Saccharomyces cerevisiae S288C: one gene and its partner. Changing the gene in region 2 together with the main gene of any one other region gives a genetic interaction. Each region holds a gene or a part of one and is shown on either strand. Other genes may lie near its edges.

Evidence for each region.
Region 1: mutations in AIM14 (region 2) and YOL029C together harm fitness more than expected from each alone (negative genetic interaction), as found in Saccharomyces cerevisiae (one large-scale study listed by BioGRID).

The regions. Positions count from the first base shown.
Region 1 is NC_001147.6:266,963-276,523, forward strand, and holds YOL029C (uncharacterized protein), read right to left. Parts: upstream 3,459-9,561; coding exon 2,853-3,458; downstream 1-2,852. Other genes in the region: SIL1 (Sil1p), read right to left, coding at 1-567; GAS5 (1,3-beta-glucanosyltransferase), read left to right, coding at 1,225-2,679; YAP7 (Yap7p), read right to left, coding at 3,671-4,408; ribosome-binding protein MDM38, read right to left, coding at 5,041-6,762; MIM1 (Mim1p), read right to left, coding at 7,050-7,391; LAG2 (Lag2p), read left to right, coding at 7,995-9,561.
Region 2 is NC_001139.9:195,408-206,175, reverse strand, and holds AIM14 (putative metalloreductase), read right to left. Parts: upstream 5,616-10,768; coding exon 3,903-5,615; downstream 1-3,902. Other genes in the region: YGL159W (uncharacterized protein), read right to left, coding at 2,343-3,455; YIP5 (Yip5p), read left to right, coding at 6,034-6,966; SUT1 (Sut1p), read right to left, coding at 7,139-8,038; DNA-dependent ATPase RAD54, read left to right, coding at 9,773-10,768. UniProt on the Saccharomyces cerevisiae protein: Probable cell surface metalloreductase. May be involved in iron or copper homeostasis.

The DNA of each region.
Region 1 (9,561 bases), on a different chromosome or scaffold from region 2:
CGGCAAATTTTCATTGAGACTAAGGTTGGCCAAGAGGGCGAATTCATGGGTAATAATTTTGTAGCCGTGCTTGTAATCATGCGCAAATTCCATTATTCTATCAAAACTATCCTCCAATCTGGCAATGTCCTGTGAAGATAAAGTCGGGTTAGAATCTATGATGTTTCTCATTTCTTTGAAATCACTGGAAAATTCATAGTCACCAGGCGATGCTTTCATGTCTTCTGAAGATACAATTAACTCATGGCTACCATTATCACCGACATTCTTCTCATCATTTAGTTTTGCCTCTTTTAAACCTGTGTCCATGTTTATTCTAATGTCCAAACCACCGGGGAGTTCTTGACCTGGCAGTATGGGCTGCCAATCGTGTCTTGGTTCAAATATCTTAGGATAGCAACGATTATCAACGCAGATCGAATTCCCTGAAATTTCAAGTTCTTTAAGATCTTCTGCAGATATGATTTCGCCTCCAGATGGCACTGAGTGTATGGATGAATGCAATATTGTACTCGCCACTAATTTCGAAGATAGGGCGCTCAAAATTATGGGAAGAATCCGGACCATTCTAAGTTTGCGTTCTTGGAAGTGATATTCAATATCGAGAACTTCCAGCGATGCGAAAACTAGTCTATTATAGTTGCTAATGTGTGCTCTATCATTTACGTGGCCTTTTCACATAGTCTGGTCTTTCTTAATTATCACAATTCCGTTACCCGAAATCTAATCTCGTGTTTAGCTTCGATCTGCGGACGTTACTTCTAACGTCCAGAACACTTCACCCGCTATTTACGTTTTGATCTAGTTGCGGCCTCCAAACCTGCAGATGAATCGTTCATTACATTCTTGCTGCCACTAGTTGGCCGCTGCGTATACAACAAGAAATATACTATGCATTTATGTAACGCGCTTTAGTCAGTAGCCTCAGTAATGCCTTTTCTAAGGTCAGTATGTCAATATCTCTCGGGTGAACCCCAACATTGTTGTTCTTTCTTCGTTGTTTCTCTCTCTTATCATCTTCTGTGTCTTTGCTTTCTTTTGTTCACAATTTCTCGAGAAAAAAAACTCCGCAGGAAATTTTTCACTTTTATTTTGCTTATACTATAAATAGGAAGGTCCCTGAACTGATTTGTTGACAGTGTTGCATTTCGTATATAAAAGTAAACAGTGGGCTGTAACAAACATATTATATATCACTCGCTACACACACAGCTCTAAATAGCTATGTTACTACGTTCTCTTACAAGTGCCTTCGTTTTAAGTGCTGGTTTGGCTCAGGCTGCTAGCAGCAGTAACAGTTCCACACCATCCATTGAAATTAAAGGCAATGCATTTTTTAATTCGGAATCAGGTGAAAGGTTTTATATCCGTGGTGTTGATTACCAGCCTGGTGGTTCTTCTAACTTGACTGATCCCTTAGCAGACGCATCTGTCTGTGACAGAGACGTCCCCGTTCTGAAAGATCTAGGGATAAATACTGTCAGAGTTTATACTGTGGATAACTCGCAAGATCATTCCCATTGTATGAAACTATTGCAGGAGAACGGTATATACTTGATCCTGGATGTCAATACCCCCACGAGTGCTATTTCTCGTTACGATCCAGCCTGCTCCTATAACGCTGACTACTTACAAAATGTCTTTGCCACCATTGATACCTTTGCTGATTACGACAATGTTCTAGGTTTTTTCGCTGGTAACGAGGTCATCAATAGTGTTAATACTACCAACACTGCTACTTATGTCAAGGCAGTGGTCAGGGACATGAAGAAATACATCAAGGCTAGAAAATACAGACAAATTCCGGTAGGTTACTCGGCTGCTGATATCGTCGCTAACAGACAATTGGCTGCTGAATACTTTAACTGTGGTGATGAAGCTGACGCTAGAATCGACATGTTTGGTGTTAATGACTATTCTTGGTGTGGTGAATCTTCATTTGTGGTATCGGGTTATTCCACCAAGATGAAGCTATATCAAGATTACTCCGTTCCTGTCTTCTTAAGTGAATTTGGTTGTAACCAAGTCAAGAGCTCTCGTCCATTCACAGAAATTGAAGCTATCTATTCCACTCAAATGTCTTCTGTATTCTCCGGTGGGCTAGTCTACGAATATTCCAATGAAACTAACAATTACGGGCTCGTTCAAATTGATGGTGACAAGGTCACTAAATTGACAGATTTTGAAAACTTGAAAAATGAATACAGCAAAGTATCCAACCCAGAAGGCAATGGTGGTTACAGTACTTCCAACAACTATTCTACATGTCCTGATTATGAAAAGGGTGTCTGGGAAGCTAATAACACTTTGCCTGCTATGCCAAGTGCTGCTTCTGCTTACTTCACATCTGGAGCAGGTTCTCCTATGGGAACCGGAATCGCCACCCAACAAAGTTGTGATGCTAAGGACGATGACGACGAAGAAGACGACGACACCTCCTCTTCATCCTCTTCTTCCTCTTCATCTTCATCTTCCGCTTCTTCATCTTCTGAATCATCATCCTCGACTTCAAAGGCATCTTCCTCCTCCCCTTCTGCTAGCGAAACGAGCTTGCTAAAATCTGCCGCATCTGCTACTTCGTCCAGCCAATCGTCCTCGAAATCAAAGGGTGCTGCCGGAATTATTGAGATTCCTTTGATATTCCGTGCTTTGGCAGAACTTTATAACTTGGTTTTATGAGTTTTCACCCCCGTTCTTTACCACATTGTTTCTAATTATTCCGTTAGCGCCGCTTACTTTTAATGTTCTTAAGATAAAAAAACATCATTAATATTATTATTAAAAAATTCATATATATACCTATATCTATATGCACTATTTATGCTTCCACTTTTCTTTTCTTTCTAAATACATCATTCCAAGACGTTTTTGTCCATCTTATGTAATGCATCCTTGATGCTTTGCAATTCTACTTTCTGTCCACGAACGTGCAATCCAGATGCAATGTTCTCTAACGCTGATGAGATCGAAGTTGAATCCTCAGGATTTAGTTGTTCTTGGATACTTTTATTTTTTTGCATATGTTGACGGATTTTTTGATATGTGTAACTGATCGGCAGATACCTCTTTGCATCGGAAGCCGCATTCATTTGTGCATTCTTGCAGGAACATATTTCGGGTAGCTTGATTGAATTGTAATTTACGTCAGTTTGTTGTTCATTTAGATCCGGTGACAACGCACTGTTGGAAGAGAAAGAGCTTGAACTACATTTATTCGAAAGTGATTGACAAAAATTCCTACTATGGGGGTCTGATCTACATTGCTTGCAGCTTCCAGGTATCCATGACCCATCCTCTTTAGTGATCGGTCTATTCTCGCTATCGTAGATTTCTTTGTCTCCACAGCATTTCGATATTGATTTCTTAGCATCGGATTCTATTTTCTTTTCTGAACAGCAAACGGGGACTAAGGATGGCATTATGTTATTCTTTTGGTTGCAACATGTTACTGGTTTCATGGCATCTTTATTCCTACAACATTTTATTTTTTTGTTGCCACTGCCTGCACATGCATTGATACTGCTGCTGCATGAAGACAGAGGTGAATTAATATGGCCATCAAGCGATGAATTCGTTGAACTAAACTGTCTGCCGCTCAGATATTGATAATCGTTGGCTATATCAATCTCAGACAAAGACTGGTCTGTTAATACCGCGGGCACATGAGATGTTAACAATGGGCCTTCAGCTTTCCTTTTTTTAAACTGACAGCGCCGATTGGTTTAAAGTTTTCTACCATTTCTAATATCGAAATAGGATTGTCTGGCGGGTTTTCTGGCTGCTGTTGAAATGGAGTATTAACAATCAAAGGCAAGGCTTTTTGCAATTCGTTGTTTAATGCTATTGATTTTTGCAAGTTTTCCTTTGTATCGGAAAACTCAGATTCCAGCAGTTTATATTTCCTTTGCCAATCATCGACCAAATTGTGTAGCATCTCAACCTTCTCTTCCAGAACCTGGATTCTTGTTGTTCTGCGTTCCCTATATGCTCTTTGCGCATCTCTATTTTGCCTCCTTCGCTTTTCCACGCTATCGACACCGTTTTCATCACCACTTCCGTTGCCTTCATCATCAGATTTCCCCTCATGACCTTTTGCGCCTTCGTTCTCATGATCTTTTGTGGTCATTTGGTCTTTCTGGTTGGAAGTTTGAACCTTCTTTATCTTGGACGATCCATCATTATTAGCTGATGCATCCCCGCGCTTGGATTTCGGTTTGCGGCCCGGTTTTAGGCGCTGTGGTAACTCCCAATTCTTGGATAACTTAATAGCTGACGGTCCTGATGTACTCACATTTCCATCTGGTGAGGATGGAGGTGGAGACGTCGTAGACATGGAACCCTGTTTATGCCCCAATTTGAAGCCTTTGGGCTTTACGCTAACTGCTACTACAGACCTTCGTTGTCTCATGATCCATTGAAAGTGTGCGTAAATGACAAAATTTTGTGCCTTTCTATATTCTTTAATTGATGATTTACTTCCTTGATAACGGCTCAACAAACGAAGAGCAATTTTCAAATTTCAAAAGAAAAAACCGTTGAAACTGTTCTTGAGCAACTTTCAAGCCTCTTATGATGATGTGCTACAGATTGAAGTACAGGTGAAAAGAGGAATAACCAATAGCCTTGTTTGCTTTCTACGGTGGGGCAGCGGATTTTCTCTTTTATGCTTATGCTTCTTCTTCCATATATTACTAATTTTTCTCGAGCGAGCAGCTTTACTGCGTGCATTACCGATGAAAAAAATCGCCGATATATGAAAATCCAGCTCATAAGATGCTGATTAAGGAGTCATGAGTGAAAGGACCCTCGTGGCCATCACAAAAAAGACACTTTGCTCCTGTATAAAAAAAAAAATAAGGCGGTAGTTTAGATAGGGTGTCTATTATATACATGCATAATAATTTAGTTTTGAAGGGTCGCTGGTTTTGCCGTGACGTACGCTTCTCTTTGATCTTTTGCCATTGTTGTCAGAGAAAAGAGAACCGATTGACTTTTTTTTTTTAGTTTTTTTTAGTTTTTTTCTTAGGCTTTGATCTAATATCAATCTTTCTTAATGACAAAAGTCTTCGCAGCTTGATCGGCCGGAATGGGAGGTACAGATTTTGCTTCTTCCTCTTCATCTAGGTTGATATCATCTGGCACATGCTCTCTCGAAGCTCTTTGCTTAGCTTCCTCTTCCTCCTTCTTTATTAGTTCTTCTTGCTCCTTCAAAACGTTCAATTTGAACTCGTTATCGTCGGATGTCTTCTTTTCTTCAGCTTCCGTGGCTTCCGCAGAGTCGGTAGGCTCTGCGTTCTCTTTTTCCTGAGATATTTCCTCTGTCTTCGCTGTTTCTGCCTTTTCATTAACTACGACTAGTTTAGGAGTAACCGCAGAAGCGGTGGTAGCTATAACAGACTCTTTTGCGGTGGCTTCTTCCTTCGGTATAGCAGTTTCCTCGGGTTTTTCTTCCGTCTTTATCTTCTTTTCAGCAACTTGCTTTTCAGCTTCAGTTTCAGCAGCGGATGATTTCGATTCAGATACATCTAGTTTTGCGACGTTGTAAACGGGATCTGGAATGGAACTTAGCACTTGTAATATACCGTCGTAGTACAGATCCAAAAGGTCGTCATATTTGCTTTTTGTTTCTTTTTTTTCAGCTAGTGGCGAGAATGCCTTTGAATAGTTCTCCTTTGGAAGTCCTCCAAACGTGAACGTGGAACTCAAAACCATCAAGACGGATGGGATTTTTTGTCTCAGTCTCAATTCTAGCCAAACTTTTAGATTATCGACCAAGTCCTCCTTGGATACACCGTACGCTTTCATACCACGAGACACACAAGCTTGATACAGCTCTTCTTGCGATAAACTTTCAACGCCTTCGTAGTCAATAGTTTTATCGTCGTTCATTATATCCTTTAGTTTGGAACGAATTTGGTAACGAAGCATGTTATCGTTACCAAATGGCCTTAGTGACATAAACTTCGACATTGCTGCCAATTGTGGTCTTGACAAGTTATCCAAAACGCTATCGTTTTTGAACATTTGCGCAATGGCGCTTATTTCATCGTGTTGGAAAGTCATAATCTTACCTTCCTTGGCAGAATAAAGCTTCCGGAAAAAATTCAAAAATTTTTGCTTCTTCTCTGCATTTTCAATGGTGTTGTAAGTGATCAAATTGGATTCTTCCAAAGTCTCATGCAAGAATTCGGATGTCTTTTTTCTGATCTCGATGAGCTTATTTCTCTTGGCTTGCTTATCCTTGCCGGATTCGTAAGTGGAGGGTAGTAAGTTGGGGAAGAGTTTCAAAGCGAAAGGCAAAAATAGTTCGGCGAATGGAATAATAAGGAACGCTGAAAAAGGGATCAACCTAAACACATCGCCCATTGTCCTCCTCAATTGGTTCCTCTCTCTTCTAGACAACTCGTAACCCTGAGCAAATTTAATCAAAAGCTTAGTAGAAACTTTGATTTCGTAACCCAAAAGTTTCGTCCCATTAGCATAATGTTTCAAGGCGTGCTTCACTTTGACCATAAGCGTCTCCTTGGGCTTGGCAGGAGCATCGGTGGATGTTGGAGCTACGGGCTTCGTAACACTTTTCGACTTATCAGTAGAATAAAATCTCAAAGATAAAGGATAGTTGGGCTGTACTCCTTGCGCTCTCAAAGGCCAATGACACGAGGGAATAGTGGAAGCTATTAATCTAGGGCCTTGATTTTTAACAAAATACAAGCTTGCTTGACGTCTTGTCACACATGACGCTCTTGATGCGAAATTCAACATCTTAGTATATTATCTGTAGTGATAGAGATAGCGTATATTATGCGCTGCCTGAAATGCACTGCGCTGTTCATATTCATCACCGTGGCAATGACTGATCCATTTATTTGGAGATGATTCAACGAATAATTTTTCACCGCGGGATTATCGCCCAAGACGGGGTCGTTTGAGGGTAATACCGTGGCTAGCTTTATGGCTTGTGAAACTATTGCCAGTTATGTGGTTACGTATAATCTACCGTATGTGTGTGTGTATTTATTTATGTAGGTTGCTAATGCTTTGGTGATCGTTTAAAGGAACTTGGACGCAACCCTCCCACGGGTGCCAGGGCTTGAAATCTCTTTCAATGCTGCTATTTTGCGCGACTCTGGGTACACCTTATACCCCTTGTTTCTATGGTTAAACCAATTGAATCTCCAGCAGAGCTCGTGAGCAAATAGCTCGCCGAAGCCGAGCATCATGCCGTTGAGGAAGGGCAAAAGTAGGTTGATGGAGCACGAGCCTACAAAGGATACAAGGCTCTGCACAAGTGGGCTCTCGTCGGCACTCACTGTGTTCTGCACCTCCATACAGTCTTTGTCTTCTGATTCGTCATCTGACACGCTCTCCCAGAATCCCACAACCTCTGTCATATTTCTGTCTTGTGGCAGTTTCGTAAGAAGGGGGGTGATGTTTCTAATATTACAGTGATGTTCTATTGTTCAAGTAAAGTGTATGGCTGTTTCTTATGGCGCGGAATATACCACTTCGTTATAAGTGATTACATCTCGTAACGCATTCCTCTTGTTCAGTGGTAGGGGAGGCCGATGGTAGTGGAATAATACGCTTTTATGGGCCATTGGTATTACTATTTATCTTCGTTATAATAAATAGTACACGTTGCAGACATATTTGGAGGAGAGTTTTTAAAGTACTGTTGGGGTGCTCTTGCTGTGCATTGTAAGTAATCGTGTCCCAGTGGCCGAGTGGTTAAGGCGATGCCCTGCTATTTCCTCAGAAAAGCAATTAGGCATTGGGTTTTACCTGCGCAGGTTCGAATCCTGTCTGTGACGCATTTCTTTTTTGTGAATTCTTGCTTCTTATCCTTCTACAATCCTTTCGTGACATTTATTGAATCATCTCTACAAAATTTTTACACATAGCTAAGGTTAGCTTGTTCTACATTACACAAGTGGTAGCAAAATCGTTTACATTGCACTCAGCTATATCAACATCACGTTCTACCGCAACTAGTAATGAGCTTGCACATTAGTAAACTGATTGAGCAATATCGTTCCACTAAGGACAATGACCTTAAATATATGCTTTTAAGGCAAAACTTTAAAATTAACGACATAGAGGATGAGCTGGCTCCTCTTGTTAACGAATTGCTGCTCCCGGTATTGGTCGAAGAACAAGACATGGAAATTCTCAACCTAGTATCGTTTCAAGTGCTCCCCGATTTAGTTCTTTCTATGATCAGCGACCCTGCAGCTGCTCAGTTGGGATGGGTAATAAGCTTGATATGCGACCCTTTATTAAACCAAAGCATGATACATGCAAATCGTTCTTTTGTTCTGATTGAGACACTAAGAAATGTGTTACAAAAAATTGAAAACTCCCCTCATTTAGATTACCACCAACCAGTAAACAGTTCATTAGAGTTTATCTCCAAATTTATTGTTGAAATGAAAAGGCATATGTGTGATGTGGATGCTGCGCAGCTTTCACATTCACTTTCTGAAAGCAATATGCTAATTTACATAGAATCCCTTAATCTATTGCTAAAATTTAGCTTCTTTTCAGACGCGGCAAGTCCTTCAGTAATGGTCACACTGCCCTTTGATATTTTGAATGACGTTTTTACAATTGCGCAGGACTATTCTGCTACGAATACAAATGAAAGCATTGATAGGATCACAGAAAAATTACTTTTGACTTCTACGCAATTAACTCATCCGGTGGACCTGGAAAATTTATGCCCCAAAATGAAGTACAATACTTTAGCAGCAGTTTCTCGAATATGGTACAAATTTGGCCCCATAGTCGATAAATTATTTACTAACCGGCTATTACCGGTTCTATTCCCCCCGCAAATGGGAGAAGAATGTAACGTCGAAGATGTTCTCGAAATAGTTCATAACTTCCATCCATATTTTTCTATTCGTAGGCTAAAGGATAATAGGCCTCTATTGTCAGATTCGACTATTAGCCAGCTAAGAGAGGGTTTGTTTGGTATGCTCAGCATATTAAACGACTCGCTGACAAGGACGCAAAATGAAAACGACCATGGTAGCGACAATCTGATCGACAGTGACGACGGATTTGGCTCAGACAACGATCCTGAACAACAAGCGTACCTCGATGAACTCGTATCAGAAGGTTATGACGAAAACATGTATGACGGTGATACGGATGACGAAGACGCAGATGATATAAACGTTGAAAAAAATGATGAAGCCACCAAAGACATTACAGAAACGAACAAAATCCTTTTAATCTTTTCTGAGTTACATTATCCTCAGGAGGAGCGCTTCTCTGAACTGTTGGTTGAGTTGCAGACTAAGATCGCTATAAACACATCCTTAATTGATAAAATTCTTTCAAAAGAGACAACAGAATTACCCACTCACAATGGGGAAATCGCAGATTTGAACGAAATTCTAAATGAAGTGAAAGGCAATAAACCAATTAGAAAAAACGTTATTTTTTGTACGTTAGCGCATACTTTGTCGTTGCAATCCGGTTCCGAATTGTCTGTTCTACAGCTATCAATAGAGGTTATTGATCATCTGCTGGTTAAAAATCATTCAAATAACATCA
Region 2 (10,768 bases):
GATTTTTATTTCCGTTGCTGTGACTTTCTTCTTCATACTTGAGCTGCATTGTTCTTTTCTCCGCTCTCATTTTTTTTTTGTTTCCCCTCATTATTTTCTTGCATAGCAAAGTGAGTTGGAACTACAAAGTTTTCACAGTCTGAAATTCCGTGAATTTAAAAATAAAAAATCAATTTTTTCTTACACGTAATTGCAGAAAGAAAGTATACGTAGTCACTAAAAAGCGGTCATATATCAGGAAGTTCTGGTCTCCCGTCTAAAAATAGAACAATGCGTGTTCCAGAAACTTAATTATGGGAGATGTAACAAACTTTATTACATGTTAAGAAAAGCCGAGTTCAAAGTATTAACCGGAAGAACACCAATTTCTTCAATTTTAAAAGCCAGAGCGCCGTACCCGATTTCTTCTCTTAAACGACATGTTCAACCAACATTCTTTTACATGCAGCAAACAGGCAAAAATGAAGGTCTAATTTTTCTCGTCTTTAGTCGGCTTCAAACGCGGGTAGCTTGATCACAGAACCAAAAAGATAAAAAATAATGGTTGCTAAGAGATTCGAACTCTTGCATCTTACGATACCTGAGTATTCCCACAGTTAACTGCGGTCAAGATATTGCTTGAATCAGGCGCCTTAGACCGCTCGGCCAAACAACCACTTATTTGTATGTTTCGGTTCTACTAATATAGGTTGGAATCAGTTAGGTATTATCATCTTAAGCGTACAATTCAAAATGTTCACAGAAGAAACCCTTGTGCAACAACCTACAGCGAAACAAATAATACTGGGTTATTTAGCTATAGTTCTTTTTTTCTTAGATGAACTGCTCAAGTGAGCGATGTCGATAATTGAAGGCTAGAAGATAGTATAATCAAAATTAAATAAGGATCTTTATATACTCATATGAGAGAGGTATAAAACACCCACACTAATTGATTTATTATTGCTTACGAACAATATGATAGTAATTCCGGTAGTTATCATACACTCAATGTGGGGACTTATATTGCTCACGTATATAACTGTCATATCATATTCAACTAAAAAATCTTTAATTCAGTATTGTTTAACCGCTAGTGTAACATTTCCTTCTGCAATTGTTTACACTGTCATTTAACGGTACCCATGGTGTACAACAATATGTAGTATAAGCATTTTTGGATTGTTAGCATATCAGTACATGTAATATTAATGATCTTTTTTTCTGAACAAATGAATATTTCAATAGTTAGTTTAGATTCAACAGACCGTGAGATATTGGCCTTTATTTAAATACACATTGGTTGTGATCATCAAATTTGATAATGAGCCTTTGTTTCTTCCGGAAATAGTTAACGATTACTTTTTTTGAATTAATTAGTTGTTATTCATCTACAATGTAATCTCTAGTTATTAAGGACGCTATTCTATTCAGTCACACCAATTTATTTAATTTAAATGTAAGCTTCACCAAGCTGGACGACCTTTTATCATTTTAAGAAAAACATAGAGATTGAACATAAAACTGAAAAAATTTCGAAGGAACAATAGAAATCTTCGGTTTTCTTGTTAAATCACTGATCATATTTTTGGATTTTTGAGGTGATCTTCTGGAATATTCTGTATATAATTTTCATTGCTTTCGTCCAAAAATGGAGTCTCGAAAATTTCCATACAAGCCTACATCTTTTTAATAATCAGCGGCTATCGAGGTGGAACATAAATATGGTTAAAAAACAGGAACATTGTTTCGCCGACATCAAATAGAGAATAGTAAATCTAAGAACTATAACCCTATGACATTTGTCTATTTTCCATATGCGCGTTAATGAAAAATAACTTTAATATTGGCTATGCACAGATCGACAGAGAAAAGTCACCAGCCTCTCTTTAAAATATGGCAAAAATCTTCATATCTGTTCAATTCTTTTTCTATTGCTAATTTCTTGAAATACATGTTGAAAATTGCTCCTAGCTTTCGTTAGATTGATGACGGTTATAAGAATTATGGTATTATTCATGTAATTAAGTCATTTTAAACTCTATATCCGTAGCGCGAATAAATGGTCCTAACGTGCTATACCGTGGAGGATAGACACCTGCAAACAGTATACGGTAATTGTTTCTCCCTTCATAACACTAACATTGCCTTTTTTTTTCTTTCATATTTTATGATGTTGTTTTCTTTCTGCACTTTACTTTTATTCTTTTAATAAATATAAAAAATTGCAAAATTTCTATCAAACTGCTCATATGTAAACATCAAAAATCTCTTCCGGATCGTAAGATATTAAAAAAAGTATCATATTTAAAAACACTTAAGAACCCTTTTGAATATAAAAAAACTAGAAGCCAAGATGCAATTTATTCCTTGTTTTCTGTGTTTTTTGTTCTCAAGCTTAAGAATTCCTTAGCAAGCGCCACGTCCATAACCGCTAGACCAACAATTTTACACAAGGTGATAGTTCTTTTGCAGCCCTTTTCGTTCAAATTCAAAACTGTGTTTTTCAAAGTATCTAATTCACCAATTTCGATGAGATTATGTGGAGCGATATTGGAATCGATTAATTCTCCAGATTCCAATAAAGTATGTTCCCTTGAATCTACCAAAATGCAAGCGCTTTCATTATCAGATTTGAACTTATCAATCAACTCCTTATCGCATTCGTGCATCACTGGTTTGTAACTTCCAATTAATGAGATATAAGTATGTTTCTGCTCCACAGAAGCTTTACTGTTTAGCAACTGCCTCAAAAACAAGTTGGGCTCTAGAGTAGGTAGACAACCAAAGATAATATCACTGTTAGAAACAGCGCCATTACCTTCTGAACTGATGTCGTTTATTTGATACTGATTAAGCTCTATCTTTATATTACTTCCAAATAAGTTTTTCAATGATTTCAAACGATCCAAACTCATCATGTTATTGTGATATAGTATGTTTATTTCAACTAACTTCAAAGATTCGCCAACAATCCCTGACATGATTAGTTTAATAGCTATGTATATGTGCCAAAATGCTTGGAGACCGGTACCAAAACATGTTAAATAGCAAGTGCCATTTTCAAATCTAAACAACTTATCATGGGAACATGAGAGTTGCTTATATAAACCGATACACGATGCAAGGGCAGTTCTTATAGCGGTAATTTGTTTAGCCTCAAAACATCCGATTAATTTTCCTGTTTCAGGCTCAATAACATTTATCACACCTTGAAAATTTTTGTTGTTGTTATTCACAAGAATTTTTATTCCTGAAAAATCCTTGCTCACAACAGGCATGAATATATGGGATATGTTAGAGTCTGCATTGGTTTCATCCAATTTTTTGAACATCCTATTGAGCAGTATCTCATGGTTTTGAGAATATAATCTCAATGACTCGTGCAAGCTGAGAAGAGATTCAATAATTGTTTGAGAAGAGCAGTTTAAGTAAAACTCTCTAACCTCATCATCAGTAATTATGGAATTGTTCATATCAGTTGAATCAGTTGCCAGATAACAATAGCTAAAGAGATGATAGATATCAAAAAGAGCCGATAACGTTGGCCAGTAAATTATATTTGATTTTTAGAGGACATGGCCACAGGCCGAGCTTTTCGATCCTTTTTCCTACTGCCCTCTTGAAATATAAACCGAGAACAACAAGAAAAGAAGCTTTTTGCTAATGTAGCTCCCAATTTTTTTGCAGACAGCCTCCATTTTAAAACGATCATCTCTAATATATCTCCATTTACCGATTAATAATGCGTACAACCTGTCAAGTGTATTCTAATAGCCGCGCAAGAAAGCATATAAACTAAAGGTCATTAAAAAACAGATATGTATTTTTTGTTTTCTATATACTATAAATTAGCATCTAATGTCGTGGAATATCATTTCCGAGCATATTGCGTAAGACATTATTATTCTTTTCTTTTCCCCTCATAATCCGTAAGTCTCACAGACAAAGTTGATCCTTTCATCGTTACAATATTTTTTAGACAATTGTAATAACGAGGGAGGACCACATGAAAACAACCATGTTTCATTTTGGTTCACTTGTGCACTTTCATTGTTGAAGCTCTTCAATTCGTTGGAAAGAGTAAAACTGTGTTTGGATTTTACCTCGATCATGCTTCCATTCTCTTTTGTGGGGCTATGACTTGTCTCTGGCGTATTGTCATTGCTGTCCGCATTTTCTGAATTGAAATTAGAAATCGAAAGGTCTTCGTCTTCATTGTTGAAAGATCCCATTTCATATTCTGAGTTTTCATCGTCGATATTGGTCGTAATTTCGTCTAACCGTGTTTCCGCCGTGTATTCTCCACTAATAAATACTGAAATCCTCTTATTATTCGAGAGTTTTTTCTCAAAAGTCAACCCATTTGTCTTGAGATAATCCAAAACAAGTTCATATTCAGAGTAATCTTTTATCAGCCAGATCATTTTCAAGTATTTTACATTCTCCTTGTTAAAAAAATGCCTAAATAGTGGTAGGGCAAAAGATATACCAGACCCACCACATATAATAGCTATATTCGTGCCTTGAGAATAACATTCTTCGGGTACAGAGGGAGGATAACTATTAATCAAAGTATAGGTTTTTTCTTGATCTAAATGAAAGGATTTTGGATTACTACGAAGAGACTCTATCTGGCTACCTGGCTCGGCTGTAGAGGTTTCCTTTATAATAAGATCAATTGAATTGTCTTCTGCCAAAGACGCAATTGTGTATGGATGCGATGGTAGCAACCAATAGAGGGGATTAATTCTTCTGTAAGGGCTTATTCTAATATGCGACCCTGGTTCAAAATAATCTGGAAGAATAGCCCTGGGCAATCTTACATGGACTAAATTTGTTTTTGAATAATTCGCATTCTTATTCAAAATCATCAAGGATTTCGCAAATACTATTCTATTGATAATATGAATGAATAATAGGGTACAGTTTAGTAGAAGAAATGGGAACTTAACACCTGGCCTAGAGTGTATTGGGGTGAGTAAGATGAAGGCCACGTTCACCAGGTTATGTACGATGTAAAACAAACGATAGTTGTATCTTCTCATTGGCCCAATCGAGCAAATAAGTAAAAAAAGTACCAATATTGATATTATGAATCCCGCAAAATTGAAAGTTTTCAGAATCAATTTTTGCTTTAGAGAGACATTATCGTCTATCGCCCACTTAATGATGAAGAAAATCCCATGAAGCAAACCAATCACGGTGATAATACGTGAAAACCATTTATGGAACGGTATAAAATCAGTGTAGGTGCAATTTTTCCTAAGGAACCAATTAGGCCTTAAAGTGAGGAATAGGTTCAGCGGGATCAAGGCGTAACTCAACCTCCCTAATCTTTTGAGATAGACCGTAGATTGGGTAGTCAAAGAGTAATGGTAATAAAATGGAATCAAGACTGCAAAAAACAATATACCTAAGTGAATTGCAGGATCTATATCATACAACCGATAAATTATCTTATTTTTGAAAGCTGACGACGATCTGGATGGGGTTCTCCTTCCGAAAGCTCTCAAAAGAGCCAATCCAATGAGATAGACCAATGATATTATCAACACATAATACCCATACTTGATATTGGCAAAATGTGTCTCGGAATGTCTTTTAACCAACGTTATGAGAGGGGATTCTTTCATATTTATTGGAAGGCTTACCAAATTAGAAGTTTCTGGCGACGAGATATGGAAAATGTAGTTTTTAAATAACACGTCTACAATATAAGGAAGGAAAAGTCAAAATATTTTAGCGCCTTTAAGTGCGGTTGAGACCCCATAGTAGTATCCCTACAAATAATAGTTAAACTGTATTTTCAATACATAACGTAACAGTATATCGGTATTACGGAGCAGCGATCAATTAAACGCTATTTACCCGGCTGTGTATTATACCTAATTTCTCAAGCAGTGAAAATGTATCAACGTCCTACGCTCAAGGTAAAAGGGGCCAAGGGCAGCGACCACATTGGATCCAAACGCATTGGTTCTGTAGTTCTTTTTTACGCTTCATCCACGATTGTATACTAGCAAATAGGATTGACTCGACAAAAGCAGAAAAATGCCGTCCAATAATAGCAGTTTTTTAGATATTGACGATGATCTCGAGGGTGTAGATGATTTTGGCAACGAGCCCAACCCATTTGATGATGCCACCGTACCTGATAGCCCAAACATGAATAACTCGACTGCTGGAAAGGGTAGCGAATTTTATAACACAACGGGCAGTAAGGCAGAATCCGCACCATTACAGGGTCAAATGGACCCACCAGCGTACGACCAAGTGATAGGACAGAATGACAACGACGGTCTTGGGCGTAATGGATTGAGGCCAGGATTGATAAACTACTATTCTAAATACTTCCAGATCGATTTGACGCAGTTCAAAAAGAGATTGTCCGCGGTACTGACGTTTAGAAACGATCATAATTCCGAAAGTAACGAAGATAACACTGATTTATACGGTGCTGTATGGATCACTGCCACGGTGGTAATGATCAATTTTACCATGAGTAGGGGGTTAAATTTTATTATCAGTGACGTAATTGAGGGCGTCAAGACTGGTGAGGACATCGACAGGGCCAGTCAGTTTAAGAAGCTACTGCATTCTATTTGGCTATTTTACGGGTACACGTTCGGCGTACCATTTATTACCATGCAAGTATTGAATAGAGATGAGCACTCGGAGCGCAATAGAAGCTTCAAAAGTGTTCCTGAATTGATTTCCGTTTACGGGTACGCTAACTTGATCTGGATACCCGTTTGTGTTATATTGAATATATTGGATATGTCCAAGCGCCTGAGGACTGTTCAAGCAATTCAATGGGCAATTGTGGCTCTTGGGTGGGCACAGTCGTCTTATTTCTTGAATTCTCAAATATCGAGTAATAATAATACGGAGACACAATCGAACGGGAAATTTTCGCTGTCCATCATCGTTGTCGTTGCGCTGCATACTTTATTCTGTCTATTGTTCAGGTTTATAATATTTTGAAAATATGCGCACGTCTATACACACAATACTTTTTATGACTAGTATCATTGTATACTCTTATTATGTAGGGTTATACATGAGTGTTTATACGTTTTCTGTGTGTACATATATATCCATATATGTTAATGCTAAATGCAAGTTTTGTGATGCTATTCATTAGAGATGCCTTTGTCTAAAAATCAATGCTTTTATAGTCATCATAGGTTATGTCGTAAATGGTTTTATCCTTAAATTTTAAGGAGATTTTGGATGAAATGTTTATGTCAGCTCTGGTAAAGCCTTTTGAAAAAGTACATTTATCATTTTTTGGGAAATTAGTGGAAGAAGAAGAATGCTTTTTCTTAATGCATGGTAAACAAGGTGTGAGCAAAACCAACTTATCAATATGCTTAATCAACTTGCGTGAGCCTGTACCCTCAATGACATCATCCGGTATGGCAATATTCCGCAACAGCGTGCCTCGATATAGCCGAATATCGTCAGGAGTCAAGACGTACCGCAACTTGTTCGAGATCATTGGCATTATAGTATCGTCTTGAAGCAAAATCTCAATTTTCGCATTACATTTTATTTTTTTCAAACGACATTTGTCACAACTTGGGCCACTTCTTTGTCTCTTGGAAATTGAACTAGTAGATGTGGCAGAGGAGGTTGTCGAGTTGCTCGTTGAGCGCGAAATTATAGACATTTGAGTGCATGACGCATTAGCGTCTTCATTGACCATGGAAGCAAGAGCATGAGGATGATACTCAAACAATGGTGGAGTGTAATTTTGTGGAGGGGGAACAATCGCACTTACGGGGAGCGTTGGCGGCGGCGTCACCGTGGCAATACCAATAGCGCACTCATTACTGTCAGCGGCAGCAGGCTTTAATCTCTTATAGCCTCCTAAAAGCTCGTCAGTCGGAAAAGCCCGCTTCCTCGTCCAAGTGGTCGACAAGAGTTCTGGATCGGTGATGCCCACATTTTGGGTGCCTTTACGCCGTATATCTTTTTCTAGCAGGGAAACATTGGGGAGCAATAGCGGTGGTAGCGATCGATCTCTATTTCTTACTGTAATGCTTGTGGACATCTTCTTTTGACATACGATGACCTCAATGATTTAGATTATGTGTTGCACTTTTATAGACCTACCAAAAATCCAGTGCGTACACTAATACTTTCATAAAGATACCTGAAACAATAACCAGAAAGATCGGCAAAAAAATTTTTTTTCTTTGCCGAGATCACAAACCTACTATGACGAAAAAGCTTGAAGTTTAGATGAGTAAGGAAAATACAAGTGACGCTTTTATATGGTGCAAGGAACAAAAACTAAAAACAACAAGGCAAATGTGGATCTGTCATGTATGGCAACGACAGCAGGATGGCTCACAAAAAAAGACAAAAAAAACTAAGGCAAAAGAACAAAGCTCCTCTCCTGCTCAAGAAACGTATTGTTGAAAAACCACCGTCGTAAGAAAGTTTTTCTGTGACCTATAATGGTTTAAAATCGGCCCATTTTTTTTCCCTCTTTTGTGGTCCAGTCTTTCTCATACTCGAGGGAAATTCGACACAAACAGCGGAGAAGTGTGGCTAAACCGGCAAGTGCCTGCAAGATCCACAGAACTAACCGCACGAACTGGCGGTCAGAAAAGAGCCTGTTCCGGAAAGAGAGAAACAGAGAAACGATCATGATGGGAAAGCGGGGATTCGGCGAAGAACGAGACTGGAAAGGGAAAAAGAGAAATACTGGTGGAAGTATTCGGACCTTTGGCGAAGTCCGAACCCTTGAAACCCAAAGATGATCGATGATTCATTTTTCAATGCGCTACGGTTCCTGCCGCTCGTGGGAACCCCACGCAAAACATATTATTCGCTTCTCTCTGCTGACAACTCCGGTTTACGTTATACCGTATTAGGATCACTATAAGGGTTCCTTCGGGAGGAGGGGGGAGGGGAAGAATGTACATCGTCATAAGGCCTTTATGGTGTGAAGTGGGTTTTGCGTGGAAAATTCGTTTTCAATGATATAGAGCCCACGCATATACGTACATACTAGTGGCCAAAAGCGTGGGGTGGGCGGACAAAGCTACACTGGTAAAATACAGGATTCTATGAACAATAACAACAACCAGCTCACGTTGCTGAACAGCCGAGGTCAGCCGATGCAACCGAGGTTTCCAAAGTAGCATTTCTGTGCTAGCTATGTCTGTAGGTTTACATTTAATGGTGCGTGGTTCCAGCTTCATGTGCTTGCATGTGATGTCCTGCAGATGGTAAGAAGATTCTGAAAGCCGCGCTAGGAGAAAAATATTCTGCTCGAAGATCTGTCCTCTTAAGTAGAAAGCGTGAAATTGTTGCGTTCTTGCATTACTACTCAACGCGTACGCAAATGCGTCTACTGCACCTGCATGATAAAGCTTATGTATCAAAAATTTAACATCTTGAAAATACACAAGTGGTGCAAAGATGTGTCACGTTCTGGACCTGAGTGGTGCCATGTATGCTATTTAACATGCAAAGGGGAAGACCCTTCCGCCTTACTGCAATAATAAAAAGTATTTTACGCGTTACCCAATATAGCAAAGTTTCGCGCAAAAAAAAAAATAAAAAACAATTACAAACAAAAAGAAAAAAAAGGAAATAATAGAAGATCTAACTGAAGCGAAGGCCAAAACTCTTCTCACTTGACGTAATAGCCGATACAAAATCTAGAGCAGCAACTTTTCTCTTTCTTCACTAAAGCTGCTACGAAAGTATAGAAAAATCAAACGCTCAGAACTTAGCTCTATTTCAAGGTACCATATATATTTCCTTATAACTGATGGCAAGACGCAGATTACCAGACAGACCACCAAATGGAATAGGAGCCGGTGAACGGCCGAGACTGGTACCTAGGCCTATTAACGTACAAGACTCGGTGAACCGACTAACGAAACCGTTCAGGGTCCCGTACAAGAACACGCACATCCCGCCCGCTGCTGGTAGAATCGCCACCGGGTCTGATAATATCGTAGGAGGAAGGAGCTTGAGGAAAAGATCAGCGACTGTATGTTATTCCGGCTTGGATATAAATGCGGACGAAGCAGAGTACAACAGCCAAGACATAAGTTTTTCTCAGTTGACTAAACGACGGAAGGATGCTCTTAGTGCTCAAAGGTTGGCCAAGGATCCGACAAGACTGAGTCATATCCAGTACACTTTGAGAAGATCTTTCACTGTGCCAATCAAGGGATATGTACAAAGACACAGTCTGCCATTAACGTTAGGAATGAAAAAAAAAATTACTCCAGAACCTCGACCTCTACATGACCCTACAGACGAATTTGCCATAGTGCTTTATGACCCGTCCGTTGACGGTGAAATGATTGTCCATGACACATCTATGGATAACAAGGAAGAAGAATCAAAGAAAATGATCAAAAGCACACAGGAAAAGGATAATATTAACAAGGAAAAGAATAGCCAGGAAGAAAGACCCACACAAAGAATAGGACGCCATCCAGCTTTGATGACAAATGGTGTGAGAAACAAACCGTTACGTGAGCTACTCGGTGATTCGGAAAACTCTGCGGAAAACAAGAAGAAATTTGCTAGTGTCCCTGTGGTTATTGATCCAAAACTGGCCAAGATTTTAAGACCCCATCAAGTCGAAGGGGTGAGATTCTTATACCGTTGTGTCACAGGGCTTGTCATGAAAGATTACTTAGAAGCTGAGGCGTTCAACACTTCAAGCGAAGATCCCTTAAAGAGCGACGAGAAGGCACTTACTGAATCTCAAAAGACTGAACAAAACAATAGAGGGGCCTACGGCTGCATC